Linked DNA regions of Sus scrofa. The protein of the gene in region 1 interacts with the protein of each later gene in a pairwise test. Links are inferred from orthologs where the notes say so. Each region holds a gene or a part of one and is shown in the gene's direction. Other genes may lie near its edges.

What was found.
Region 2: the proteins of PGBD1 (region 1) and ZNF496 interact in binary tests that used the Homo sapiens proteins (3 or more experiments, as listed by UniProt). The two-hybrid records come from large-scale screens. The link is inferred for Sus scrofa from reciprocal best matches to the Homo sapiens genes PGBD1 and ZNF496.
Region 3: the proteins of PGBD1 (region 1) and SCAND1 interact in binary tests that used the Homo sapiens proteins (3 or more experiments, as listed by UniProt). The two-hybrid records come from large-scale screens. The link is inferred for Sus scrofa from reciprocal best matches to the Homo sapiens genes PGBD1 and SCAND1.

The regions. Positions count from the first base shown.
Region 1 is NC_010449.5:22,132,267-22,136,712, forward strand, and holds the start of PGBD1 (piggyBac transposable element-derived protein 1), read left to right. Parts: upstream 1-1,511; 5' UTR 1,512-1,622; exon of another isoform or gene 1,623-2,873; intron 2,874-3,476; exon of another isoform or gene 3,477-3,479; 5' UTR 3,480-3,959; intron 3,960-4,446. Other genes in the region: ZSCAN26 (zinc finger and SCAN domain-containing protein 26), read left to right, coding at 1-39.
Region 2 is NC_010444.4:57,052,126-57,056,222, forward strand, and holds the start of ZNF496 (zinc finger protein 496), read left to right. Parts: upstream 1-1,291; 5' UTR 1,292-1,622; intron 1,623-1,810; 5' UTR 1,811-2,039; intron 2,040-3,924; 5' UTR 3,925-4,097. UniProt on the Homo sapiens protein: DNA-binding transcription factor that can both act as an activator and a repressor.
Region 3 is NC_010459.5:39,243,916-39,246,927, reverse strand, and holds SCAND1 (SCAN domain-containing protein 1), read left to right. Parts: upstream 1-1,531; 5' UTR 1,532-1,736; coding exon 1,737-2,276; 3' UTR 2,277-2,472; downstream 2,473-3,012. Other genes in the region: CNBD2 (cyclic nucleotide-binding domain-containing protein 2), read right to left, coding at 1,181-1,531. UniProt on the Homo sapiens protein: May regulate transcriptional activity.

The DNA.
Region 1 (4,446 bases):
CAACATCAGAGGTATCACCACAGAGATAAACTGGCCTGATGCGGTGTCTTCTGTGGACTGTCAGAGACAGTGCATTAATAAGCAAGCAGCACTTTAGGAAAGGTCACTCTAGCAGAGAACTTTTTGGGGCCAAGTTGGAGGCTATCTACTTCTACTCTTTCTCCTTTGTTTTCCTTGTAGTCGGCTTTGGACCACAATAATTTGACGCTGGGTGGTGTGGGATCAAAGGTAAACAGGCGTTCTTACCGCAGGACTTCTCAGAGCCTTTAATGTGGTAAATGCATATTTGTATATCTCCAGGTAGTAGAGGGCCTCATGAACTATGGCAGCAGACTCCTATACGATAAAAGCAATGAGCTTTGGAAATGTCTCACACTCAGAGGGATCTTAAAGTGCAGGTCAATGTGAACATTTACCCCACTGGCTTTACTACCCTTCCCACCCCCAACCCCCAGTCAGCAGAAGCATTTTGGAAAGCAAAGATCATCTAATTTTACCATTTCCCAGCCCCATCTCTGCCATAACACCTCACTGATTCAAGTTAGAAATTACAGTTTCATTTAGACTATGGAAGAGATCTCATAAGTCATTTAAATGAACTGGGCTGAATTAATCTAAGTAGCAACTATCTTACTTGATAACTCCAGTGTCAGTATAGTGGTTGCCACATAGACTCTATTCAATAAATGGTTGGGGGAAGAAATTGGACTTTTTTCCTTTAATACTGATGGTGTAATTTTAAAATATTCCTTGTTTTGGAATTTTGGAAGTCAAATAATAAAGTCAGCTTGGAGGAGGTCATGATCTTCACATTGTAAATGCCAAAATGTTAATGGTAATGAATATTGAGCTTTGGGGAGTCCACTTCTGAATACATCACTGGGGTGATTGGTTAACACCACTTGCAGGTTAGTAAACATCACTTGCTGGTTGGTGGTAGTTGCTTGGGATACTGCTGTCTGGAAAAGACTTTGCAGTCTGTCATGCTGATGGAAAGACTGGTGAACCCTCATATTTTACTAAAGTCTTGGTTCTGCTGCATATAGTTTAAAAAACAAAAGTGGGAATGACTTAGTAAAAGTTTGTTTTTCTTTCAGATAGGAAAGGCCAGAGACGAGCAGTCCAGGAATGGTAAGGTGGATCCATGACATCACTAGGGACACCAGTCTCTGCCATCAGCCCTTAAGGTTTACCATGTGATCCTCAGTGACTGCTGAAGCTCCAGCTATCATATGCAAAATGTGGACAAAAGGAGATTCCTCCTGGTCAGTCAGTTCCCTTTGAGCAGCCTTCCCATAAATAACTTCAGCATGTATATCGTAGGCCAAAATTTAGGAAAGGGAAGCTGGAGAGTGTCTTATTCTGGGTTGCAGAGTACCCAGCTGAAAAATCAGTCTTCTGTCACCAAGAATAAAGGGGACAATGAAGGCTGAAGTAAGGGCTTAGGAGTCTTTGACCCACTTCCCACTACACTCTGACTGGGTGCAAGCTGATCAGAAGCAACAGTTAATACCATTTTTGGGAGGAGGACCAAATCTGCAGGAGAAGCAGCTGTAATTTTTTGAGTATTTGAAGAATTTCTTGAAAAGTCAGTCATATTCCATCGCTTAGGAAGCCATGAGGTATGTATCTTTTATTCTGCCTTTATCAGTAAAGTTAAGTGGATAACGGGAATTTTTCCAAGAGTTTTGAGGGGTTTGCTGAGGTCAGTGAGTAAACATTTAACTCCAGATCAGTTTAAATCCATTGGATTCTGTTCAGTTTAAGGAAAGAACATGGAATATCTTTATTATTCTCATTAGAAAGTAATAATTAGGAGTTCCCATTGTGGCACAGTGGTTAACGAATCCGACTAGGAACCATGAGGTTGCGGGTTCGATCCCTGCCCTTGCTCAGTGGGTTAACGATCCAGCGTTGCCGTGAGCTGTGGTGTAGGTTGCAGACGCGGCTCGGATCCCGCGTTGCTGTGGCTCTGGCGTAGGTCGGTGGCTGCAGCTCCGATTCGACCCCTAGCCTGGGAATCTCCATGTGCTACGGGAGCGGCCCAAGAAATGGCAAAAAGACAAAATAAAAAAGAAAGTAATAATTAAAAGATTCAAAGTATGAAGGCTTATATAACAAATATCTGGAAAATTTATTTTGACTTTATCTTTTCATGATGATTCCATACTTGGAGGTATTATAATTATTCTAAGTTCATTGACACTTTAACCTAATTGTTCCTTTCAGTTCCAAAGGAGGTGGTTTTCTCACCTATACCCTGGGGCCAGACCCATAGCCACTTGGGCATAAATGTTGGATAGAGCTATATTTAAATAACATGTTTTCCTTATTTATTCTTGAAAACTGGACAAAGGGCAAAGGTTATAACATCTTGATTCAGGTTGTGCTTGTAGTATAAGACATCCTAAACACACTAAAAGACAGTTAAATTTTTTTTCAGAGGCAGAAACCCAAGAAACCCCAGCAGTGTCTTGTCTTGATCAGCCATTTTTTTTAGGTCTGCTTTTTTTTTTTTTTTTTTTTTTTGTCTTTTTAGGGTGGTACCTGTGGCACATGGAGGTTCCCAGGTAGGAGTACAATTGGAGCTGTAGATACTGGCCTACGTCACAGCCACGGCAATACCAGATCTGAGCCACTTCTGCACCCTATATACCACAGCTCATGGCAAGGAGGATCCGTAATCCACTGAACAAGGCCAGGGATCGAACCTGTCAGATTTGTTTGTGGATACCAGTCAAATTTGTTCTGCTGAGCCACAACAGGAATTCCCTAGGTCTGCTTTTTAGAGGAGTGAAAGAATGTTTTTACTGTCAAAATTGAATCTTTTCACTTGTTAATAAGTGAATTCTGATTAAACATGTTAATTCTGATTTTGAGTCATTATGTTCCTCTTAGCTGTATTTTTCTGTTGGGTTCTCAGTTTACTCTTAAATAGTAGCACCCTTAGAAATTAAATAGGGGAGCTGTATATCAAATGCGCATGCTCTTTGACAAATTAGTTCCAACGTGTAGGATTTATCCTAGAAATATAAACGCATGCGAAGATGTTCAGTGGTGGTCTCTACAGCGTTTCCTATAAGGAGAAATACAGTAGGCATAGTTAAGTAAATTCACTCATACAGTGGAGTACTAATTAGCTGTTAAAAAATAAACTGGCATGGAAAGATTGCCAAGGCATCTTAAATGAAAAAGATGAGGTGCAAAATTTTATTGTGATGCCATAGGTGATTTAAAATACACACTTAACAAATGTTTACTGAGAGCTACAATGTGGCTGGTAGTATCCTAGGAAGGTATACACGAAATATTAAACGATAGTAAACTCCGAAGAGTGGGACACTTTTCGTTTTGTAGTCTATACAACTTGATTTTTATTGTGCATATATAAGCTGTATGTTTACGTTTTAAACATTTGCGCTGCTTGCTATTATGATGTTTAGTCATCTGTTCTCCGCACCGCCCCCCCCCCCCAGCAGCCTGTGAAGAACTTAAACTCAGTTTTGCCTTCATCATCTAGTTGGTTTTTAATCGAAACGATTGCGTAAATGCGGGGATGAGGGGAGGGATGAGGCTGACGGACTGAGCCAGCTTGGTGGCGGCAGGAGGGGTCGGCTCGAAGCACCAGAGAGACGAGCAGCCAGGTTCCTAGAGCGGACGGAGTCGGCGCGCGGTGACTCGGCTGCTGGAGCGGCGCGGGGAGAAACCTTGGAGACTGGGCCCCCAAATCCCGACGGCAGGAAGCCGGGATGTGCCGGCCTCCGCTGTCCACTTCGGGTCCGTTAACCCCCAGTTAGACACGCACTTGCCGAGTGCCTGCTGCATGCCCAGCGGTAAGTGCTGGGGAGAAATACGTTCTGGGCCTTCCGGAGGCCCTGGAACTGGCATCGCAGTACAGCTACCTGTGTCTGACAGTATTGGCTGAATACCTGATACACCCCCGACAAGACTCTGTAGAGGTAAGTACCTGGCCTCAAGGAGCAGGGATGATAAGCTGGTGATGAAGGGGGTGTGCTCTGTAACACGGGATGGAGCGGGAAGCAGGTTGATGAGGCAGGTTTGGGCTCACTTTTCCGTGGAAATGCCTTCCCCCTGAGCAGCTTAAAGGGGAGAAGATTGTACATCAGGTTTGGGGGTGGCATTTGCACTGGGGTCCTTGGGAATTTACCATTAGAAGACTGGTACTGGCCATAACATACAAGGTAGGTAGAGCAAGTTTGGTATCAGCTGGCACTGACAGGCATTTGGGAAGACCATGGCTTTCTTAGAGGTTGAGTCTGTCTTTTTTAGAGTTATGCCTGGAAAATAATGACGTGCTCAATAAATGTTTTTCGAATGTTAATACATTAATGAAAGTCGGTTAAGATCAGATCCTGAGGAGTTTGAATTTAGTTCAACCTGGAGCAGTTGAAACCTGTGTTTTGGTGGGGGAGGTCGTTGAATATA
Region 2 (4,097 bases), on another chromosome or scaffold:
ATCTGCAGATTCCAGGTAAGATTGCTAGGTGGCCCTGCCTGTCACTTGGGGTAACAAATCACTGTTCACAAAAATAAGCTTCATTCCTTTGCTTTGATCCATCTCCTTGCAAAAGTCACAGAATCCAAGCATATGACTTATGGTGGCTCCCAGTAACTCTGATACTCAGAAGTGATTATTCATAATTTAGAGGAAGAAACAAAAGGTTCCCAACTCCATGGAATAAGGAAAGCAACAGCGCAAAGGAATCCAGTTCCTCAGTCGATCCACCTCTTTCTCACCTGCTCAGCCAGGCCTCTTTCTCTCTTTCGTGGAACTCATATTGCCCTGCTTGATCTGAGGGAAATCAAGATCAGAAGTGTATCCCTGTAAATGGTAAATTTCTTTGCCTTCTTTCCTGGGAGAGTCTAACTTCAGTGCTGGGCACATGAAGAAAGAGAAGGGTTGGTGGGAGACCCCAATACATTTTCTCCCAAGCTCCTGAACCTGGAAGATTAAGAATTAGCCCGGGAAGATCCCTCTGAGCCTTCAAGCAATGTTCAGTCTAGAATAGTGTGGCAGGTAGCCCTGTCTGGGGGTCTGGAGGCCCTAATTCTTCTCGCCCCCCTGACACTTGACTTCAAGCCAAAGTTGCTTAACTCATCCCTCTGTGAACAGCTAACTACACCCTACACTTAAGGGAGCAATAAGCACCCCGACCACTAACGGGGGACCCTCTGTTCACTCCTCAGGGTTGTCCTGATGCTCAGAAGGACGAATGACGCACAGCTGGGAAAGTGCAAATCCCTCCAAAGCCCAGGCTGACACCTTGAGCATCTGATGTTGGACTAAGCGGGGCGGCAAGACTTCCCTTCTCCTACCTTCCTCGCCCATTCAGCGGCCGCGGGCCGGACGCAGAGGAGGGGTTTCGGCTGGAAGAGGGTTGGGCCTGCCGGAGGGGGGGGGGGGCGTCACACGGGGATTCTGAAATGGAGCGTTCCACGATGCACCACAGCCTTTTCTCCGCCCCCCACTCCCAATTCCAGCTTTCAGCCTTGGCTCCAGGATCGACCCTTCTGGGCGTCCACAAACCCTTAGGGGAGTCCGAGACAGGAGGACAGCGAAGAGATAAGCCTCCAGACCGACCTTCCCAAACCGGTGGCGGCCCACAGCAGGACGCACCAGCGTGAGCCTCCTGCCAACCTTGTCCTCAGCCTCTCCACTTGGCCACCCGCTCGCGGGCGCGATTCCCGCCGCGCCTTCGACGCCCCTCCCTCCCGCCCCGCCTCGGCGCGCGTCCCCCGCGCGAGCCCGCGGGGAAGCTGGGCAGCCGTGGCTTGGCGGACCCACAAAGCCCCCGGCCAGGAGCCGAGCCCCGGGCGCGCGCGGAGCGGGGCGTGGCAGGGCGGGGCGCGCAAGCCGGGCCGGGCCGGGGGTGTCGGATGTCACCCCCAGCGCACACCTCGGCCCGGGGACGGAGGAGCGAACCACTGAGATGCGGAGACCTCCCCGGTCCTAGAGCGGAGCAGGAAGTGTCCCAGGGGAGGGAGCCGGAGGGCTTCGGCCTTTCCTTTTCTCCGCGTCCGGCGGGCTCCAGAGGCAGCCAGGCCTGCACGGCGCGCCAACTGGGACGCGGCGCGGCGGTGAGTGCGGCCCGGGCGGCCGAGGCTTCTGCGGCCCGCGCGCCCGCTCGGCGCCTTCCCGCGCGCCCGGCTCCGCGCTCCCAGGTCCCTTGGCTCCCAGCCCCGCGCGCTCCGGCCTCCCTCCCTTCCCCGAGCCGAGAGGTGAATCTTCGGGCAGGGGCATAGACAACACAAATGTTGTTTTTCAGGCGTCTCCATTTGCTCCTACTTCTTCCCTCCTAAGCGGAGCCCTGGTTTTCTGGATGAGCAGGAGACGGGGTCTCGGCTAGCCAGGAACAGTCTGGCCCTTGCAGAGAACCCGCCTCAGGAAGGACACCCGGGAGACCGCGCTGGAAGGATGAGGAGCTGCTGCCTAAGTCTTCCGCCGCAGCAGGAGGGATTTGAGTTAGACGCTGGGAAGGAGTTCCAGGCTGTGAGGTGAGGAGCCGGGAGCTGGTTAAACTGGAGGCGTGCATGGGTGTGGATGTGTAGGGAGGGAAGAGGGAGAGGGATCTGGAGCTAGGAAAAGCTTGCCCCTTTCCCTGGCACAAAATGCCCATCCCCTTCTCTTTCTGCTAATCCAACTCTGTCCTCCTTATAGAGCTGCTTTAAGTGCGCCCCGCCCCCTACGGGATCCTCCAGGGACCTACGTTAGTTCATTCATCAAGCTTCATTCCTGAGCCTCCTATGTGCTAGATGCCAGGGCGACAAAGAGGAACATGGCTTTCTAGTTAGGGACGATGGGCAGAGCTAGGTGTTTTAGAGTGGACACTGAGGACTTAGGGTGGGGGCACGGGTCCCCTAGCCCTGAGAAATCTAGGGCCCTGTAGGTGTGTGATGGCAGGGAAGGTGGAGTGGATAGGGCTGGGATTGGGTTTCAGATGTAGGAGCAAACACTGGAGGAAATCCATTGGTATTGGTGGGGCAAGTTGTAAGGTGTCCAACCAGATACCCTCAGAGCCCTTTCATACCAGTGTGCATTTATCTTTATGTTGGAGAGCAGAGGTCCAGAGGTTTGGGTTTTTCTGACTGCCATTTAGTGGCATTGTTGCTCTTCTAGCCTCACCTGTCTTCCTGTGAAATGGGAAAGAAGCCTCCATTTTGCACGGAACCCTTGGGGGATGGGTGGGGGCATTGAGCTGTTGGAGGTTAAGGGGCTGGCTTGCTGGGGAGCCTTATAAACCAGATGTGGAGAGTAAGTGACCCTGTCCAAGGATTTCAGAGGCCCGATGGTTGGGGAAGAGTGACCCCATTTGCCCTTCATCTTTTCTGGGACCCATAGTCTGGAATAGTGGCTGCTACTCTATGTTGTTGCTCTATATGTATTCACTGGGGAGGTAGAGGGGCCCCTGAAGTCGTGGAGGCTGTGCTCTGAGCACCTCACCTGTGTCCTGCCTAGGAAAGGCTGTGAGTTGTGCATGGTTTTTCTTATTGTAGATTGAAGATGACAAGAGAAGGCAAAGTGGACATCTTTAAGTACTAGTGTATATTGGAGTTCCCATTGTGGTTCAGTGGTTAATGAATCTGACTAGGAACCATGAGGTTGTGGGTTCGATTTCTGGCCTCGCTCAGTGGGTTAAGGATCCGGCGTTGCGGTGAGCTGTGGTGTAGGTCACAGATGCAGCTCGGATCCTGAGTTGCTGTGGCTGTGGTGTAGGCTGGCAGCTGTAGGTCCGATTAGACCCCTAGCCTGGGAACCTCCATATGCCACGGGTTCGGCTCTAGAAAAAGGCAAAAAGACAAAAATAGATAAATAAATAAATAAAAAATACTAGTGTGTATTTAAATGTTATTGTGTACCATTCAGACTAGTGAGTTGTGCAGAGGCTCCTCAGAGAGTACTGACATTTTTTTTAGTCTTTTTAGGGTAGCACTCGTGGCATATGGAAGTTCCCAGGATAGGGGTCTAATTGAAGCTGTAGCTGCCTGCCTACGCCAGATCCACAGCAACACCAGATCCGAGCGACGTCTGAGCGAGGCCGGGGATCGAACCTGCAACCTCACAGTTCTTAGTCGGATTCATTAACCACTGAGCCATGATGGAGACTCCAAGAGTACTGATATTTTTAAATGCATAGTGTTATTTTCTTCTAGTAAACTCAGGGTGTAGCCACCTCTTAAGATTCCCCATCTCTTGTCTGGGTATCTTCTCTGCTATCTGCTTCATTTTCTGCCTATCAGTGCTTACTCCACTGAGCAAGGCCAATTCTTGCTCTGTGTTGTTCCAGCACTGCTAGTTCACTCTAACTACTGCAGGATGAATTTCTCATCTGGATTCACTTTTGAAGGCTTTTCCTGTGCATGTCTGTCTTTGTCTTTCCAGCTCATTTTGTAAAGGTCTCAAGGACAAGGACGGTGACTTCGGCTCCAAAGCCTCAAGGTAGCGGCCTTCTCATCTTGTCCATATCAGGTCCTTTCCAGGAGGACCTGGCCACTGAAGGTACCACACAGTGTTAATTACATCTCTGTCCTGCATGTGGCCCCATTGGTCTCTTG
Region 3 (3,012 bases), on another chromosome or scaffold:
TTTCAACATATATGTAATGGAAGCCATATATATAATTTAAAGTTTTTGGATTTCCCGTTGTGCCTCAGTGGGTTAAGAACCCAACTAGTATCTGTGATGATGCAGGTTCCATCCCTGGTCTCATTCAGTGGGTTAAGGATCTGGTGTAGGCCACATAGGCAGCTTGGGATCTGGCATTGCTGTGGCTGTGGCTTAGGCTGGCACTGCAGCTCAGATTCCACCCCTAGCCTAGGAACTTCCATATGCTGTAGGTGCGCCCCCCCCCATAAAAAATAGTTTTCTAGTAGGTCACATTTAAAAAGTAAAATGACACACATGAAATTTGACATTTATATACATATATATATATATTTAGTACCCATGGCATATGGAGGTTTCCAGACTAGGGGTCGAATCGGAACTGTAGCTACTGGCCTAAGCCACAGCCACAGCCACACAGGATCCCAGCGGCATCTGCAACCTACACCACAGCTCACAGCAATGCAGGATCCTTAATCCATTGAGCAAGGCCAGGGATCGAACCTGTGTCCTCATGGATGCTAGGTGGATTCATTAACCACTGAGCCACGACAGGAAATCCTGAATTATATATTTTATTTGACTCAATATATGCAAAATATTATCAATCCAACATGTAACAACAGAAAAAATTACGGCGACACTTTATCTTTTTCATACCAAGTCCTGTATATATGTCACGTTACAGGACATTCCCTTTCTGACTAGCCACATTTCAAGAACTAACGAGGTAAGCATACATACCTAGTGACCACTATATGGCAGTACACATTTAGTCTATTTAGTAATCCTAAAATTAAAAGCAAAACCTACAGCGCCACCTGTCCCTTGATTCCAGAGGACACGCAAAAAAAAAAAAAAAAAAAAAAAGTTCTTCAGCATTTACTTTGTGCCATGAGAAGGGCAAGTTTTACTCTGTGTGCTGAGGATCTTACACACGTTATCTGTGTCACTCCCTCTACCAGGCAGGTGTACTGCCCTCTTTCGACTGAGCGAAAGAACTTTCCCGAGTTGGGCCCTCCCCCTAATGCCTGACAGTCATCCCGCCGTCCCTTCTCTGCCACCTGCTGGGCCCCAGACCCCGCGAGCTCTGGCTCGCCTTCATCCCAATTAGGGTCGGGTAAAAAGGTGCGCATGCAGAGGCAGGGGCGGCGCAGGTCACCTGCCGGCCGAAGCCACCAAGTCGCATGATGACCCTTTTGGGCCCCTCCTCCTTGGGCCTGAGTAGGCGTTCCGGCACCGGCTCCTCCCCCGACTCCTCCTCCAACTCCTCCTCAGAGTTCTCCTCCTCAGAGTCATCCTCCGACACCTCCTCGGGTTCCTTCCCCGCCTCCTCCTTCTCCTCGAACTGGTGCTCGGAGGCGCCACCATCCCGAACTGACCATTGCACGCTTAGATTAGCCGGGTGCCCTGCTGTGGCCGCCGCCTCCTGGCGGGACTCGCGAACGCGAGGGGGCGCCGCGTCCTCGAGCCCAGACTCGGCTTCCGGGCGCTCGCGCACCGAGGTCATCATAGAGAAGCCAGCGGGGACGACCACTTCCGGCCGCCCCAGCCGCTTCGCCGGCGCTGGTAAGCTCACGGCGCCCCCCGCCCGCCTCCCTCAGGGTCTCGCGGACTCCGCCCTCTAGCGGAAACGTCTCCCTCCTTACCCAGCCCCCGCGCAGACGTAGTGCCGCGCCCTCAGCTGCGGGACAAAGAGTGACGTCCGTAGCGGAGTTATGGCGGCCACCGAGCTGAGCTTGGCGGCTACCGGGAGTCTCGCGCTGCCGTTGGGGAAAGAAGAAGGGGCCGGCCCGAGCTCAGGCCCGGAGCGTGACTCTGCGGACTCCTTCTCGACTCCTGAGGCCCCACCGCCTGCCCCCAAGCCCTCCAGCCCCAAGGCCGAGGTCGCCGAAGAGAATCCTACGCCTCACTCGGCCGCCTCCGCCTCCCTGGAGCTGCCCCTCGGGCCCGCAGCCCTGGGCTCCGCGTCGTTTGCCGAAGCAGCTCCGCGCTCACCCCCAGGCCCTGGCGGTTCCCGGCCCGGCCCAGAGACGTTCCGCCAGCGATTCCGGCAGTTCCGCTACCAAGACGCGGCAGGCCCGCGGGAAGCGTTCCGGCAGCTGCGGGAGCTTTCCCGCCAGTGGCTGCGGCCCGACATCCGCACGAAGGAGCAGATCGTGGAGATGCTGGTGCAAGAGCAGCTGCTCGCCATCCTGCCCGAGGCGGCGCGGGCCCGGCGGCTTCGCCGCCGCACAGACGTACGCATTACAGGCTGAGCAGCCGGGCTGCCGGCGGCCCGGCTCTCCATTCTGCGTTAATGAAAAACGAGTTTTGGCTGTTCCTGCAGTCTCGAGTGTCCTTTTCGGTCGTCCTTTGCAATGTTTATTTCCCCGAGCCTATTTCCAACCTTTCTGACTGGTGGCGAAATCAAGTTGGGAGCTCATGAGAATAAAGCCTTTCTTATTCACTTGACCTTCGTAGGTTTTGTGGAATCATTGGGTTGGCTAGGCTTGGGCCTCCACATCTGGGAAATTTTCTCCTGCGCGTTCCCTAGGACCCCACTTGGGTTTCCTTTGTTTGGTAATGTGGGTCCAGCAGCCTGGGTTCCGTATTCGCTCTACCCTCTCACTAGCTGGAATTTGAGCTTGTTTTCCTACCTAAGAGGGTAGATGATGGTTATAGTCTTACCTTATGACTGTGGGATGGTGCAGACAAATTGTTAGCTCTACTAAATACTCGTTTAAGTGGCCATTGCTGTATCAATACTGCCAAACTACTTGTCCCACCTGCCTGCCCTTTGGGCACTGGCTTCCCCAAAGGCCCAATTCATCAGGCTATTTTTTTTTTTTTTAATAGGCAAGAAACAGATTTATTAGGATAGGACGCTTGTGAGAGAAGCAAGCGGGCAGGTGAGCAAGCTTCACCCTGGAGGATACTGTGGGCCAGTTTTATCATCCATGGAAAGTGGGATTGGAAAGGCCCGCCTCTTCCTTCCTGGGAGAAGTAGCTCCT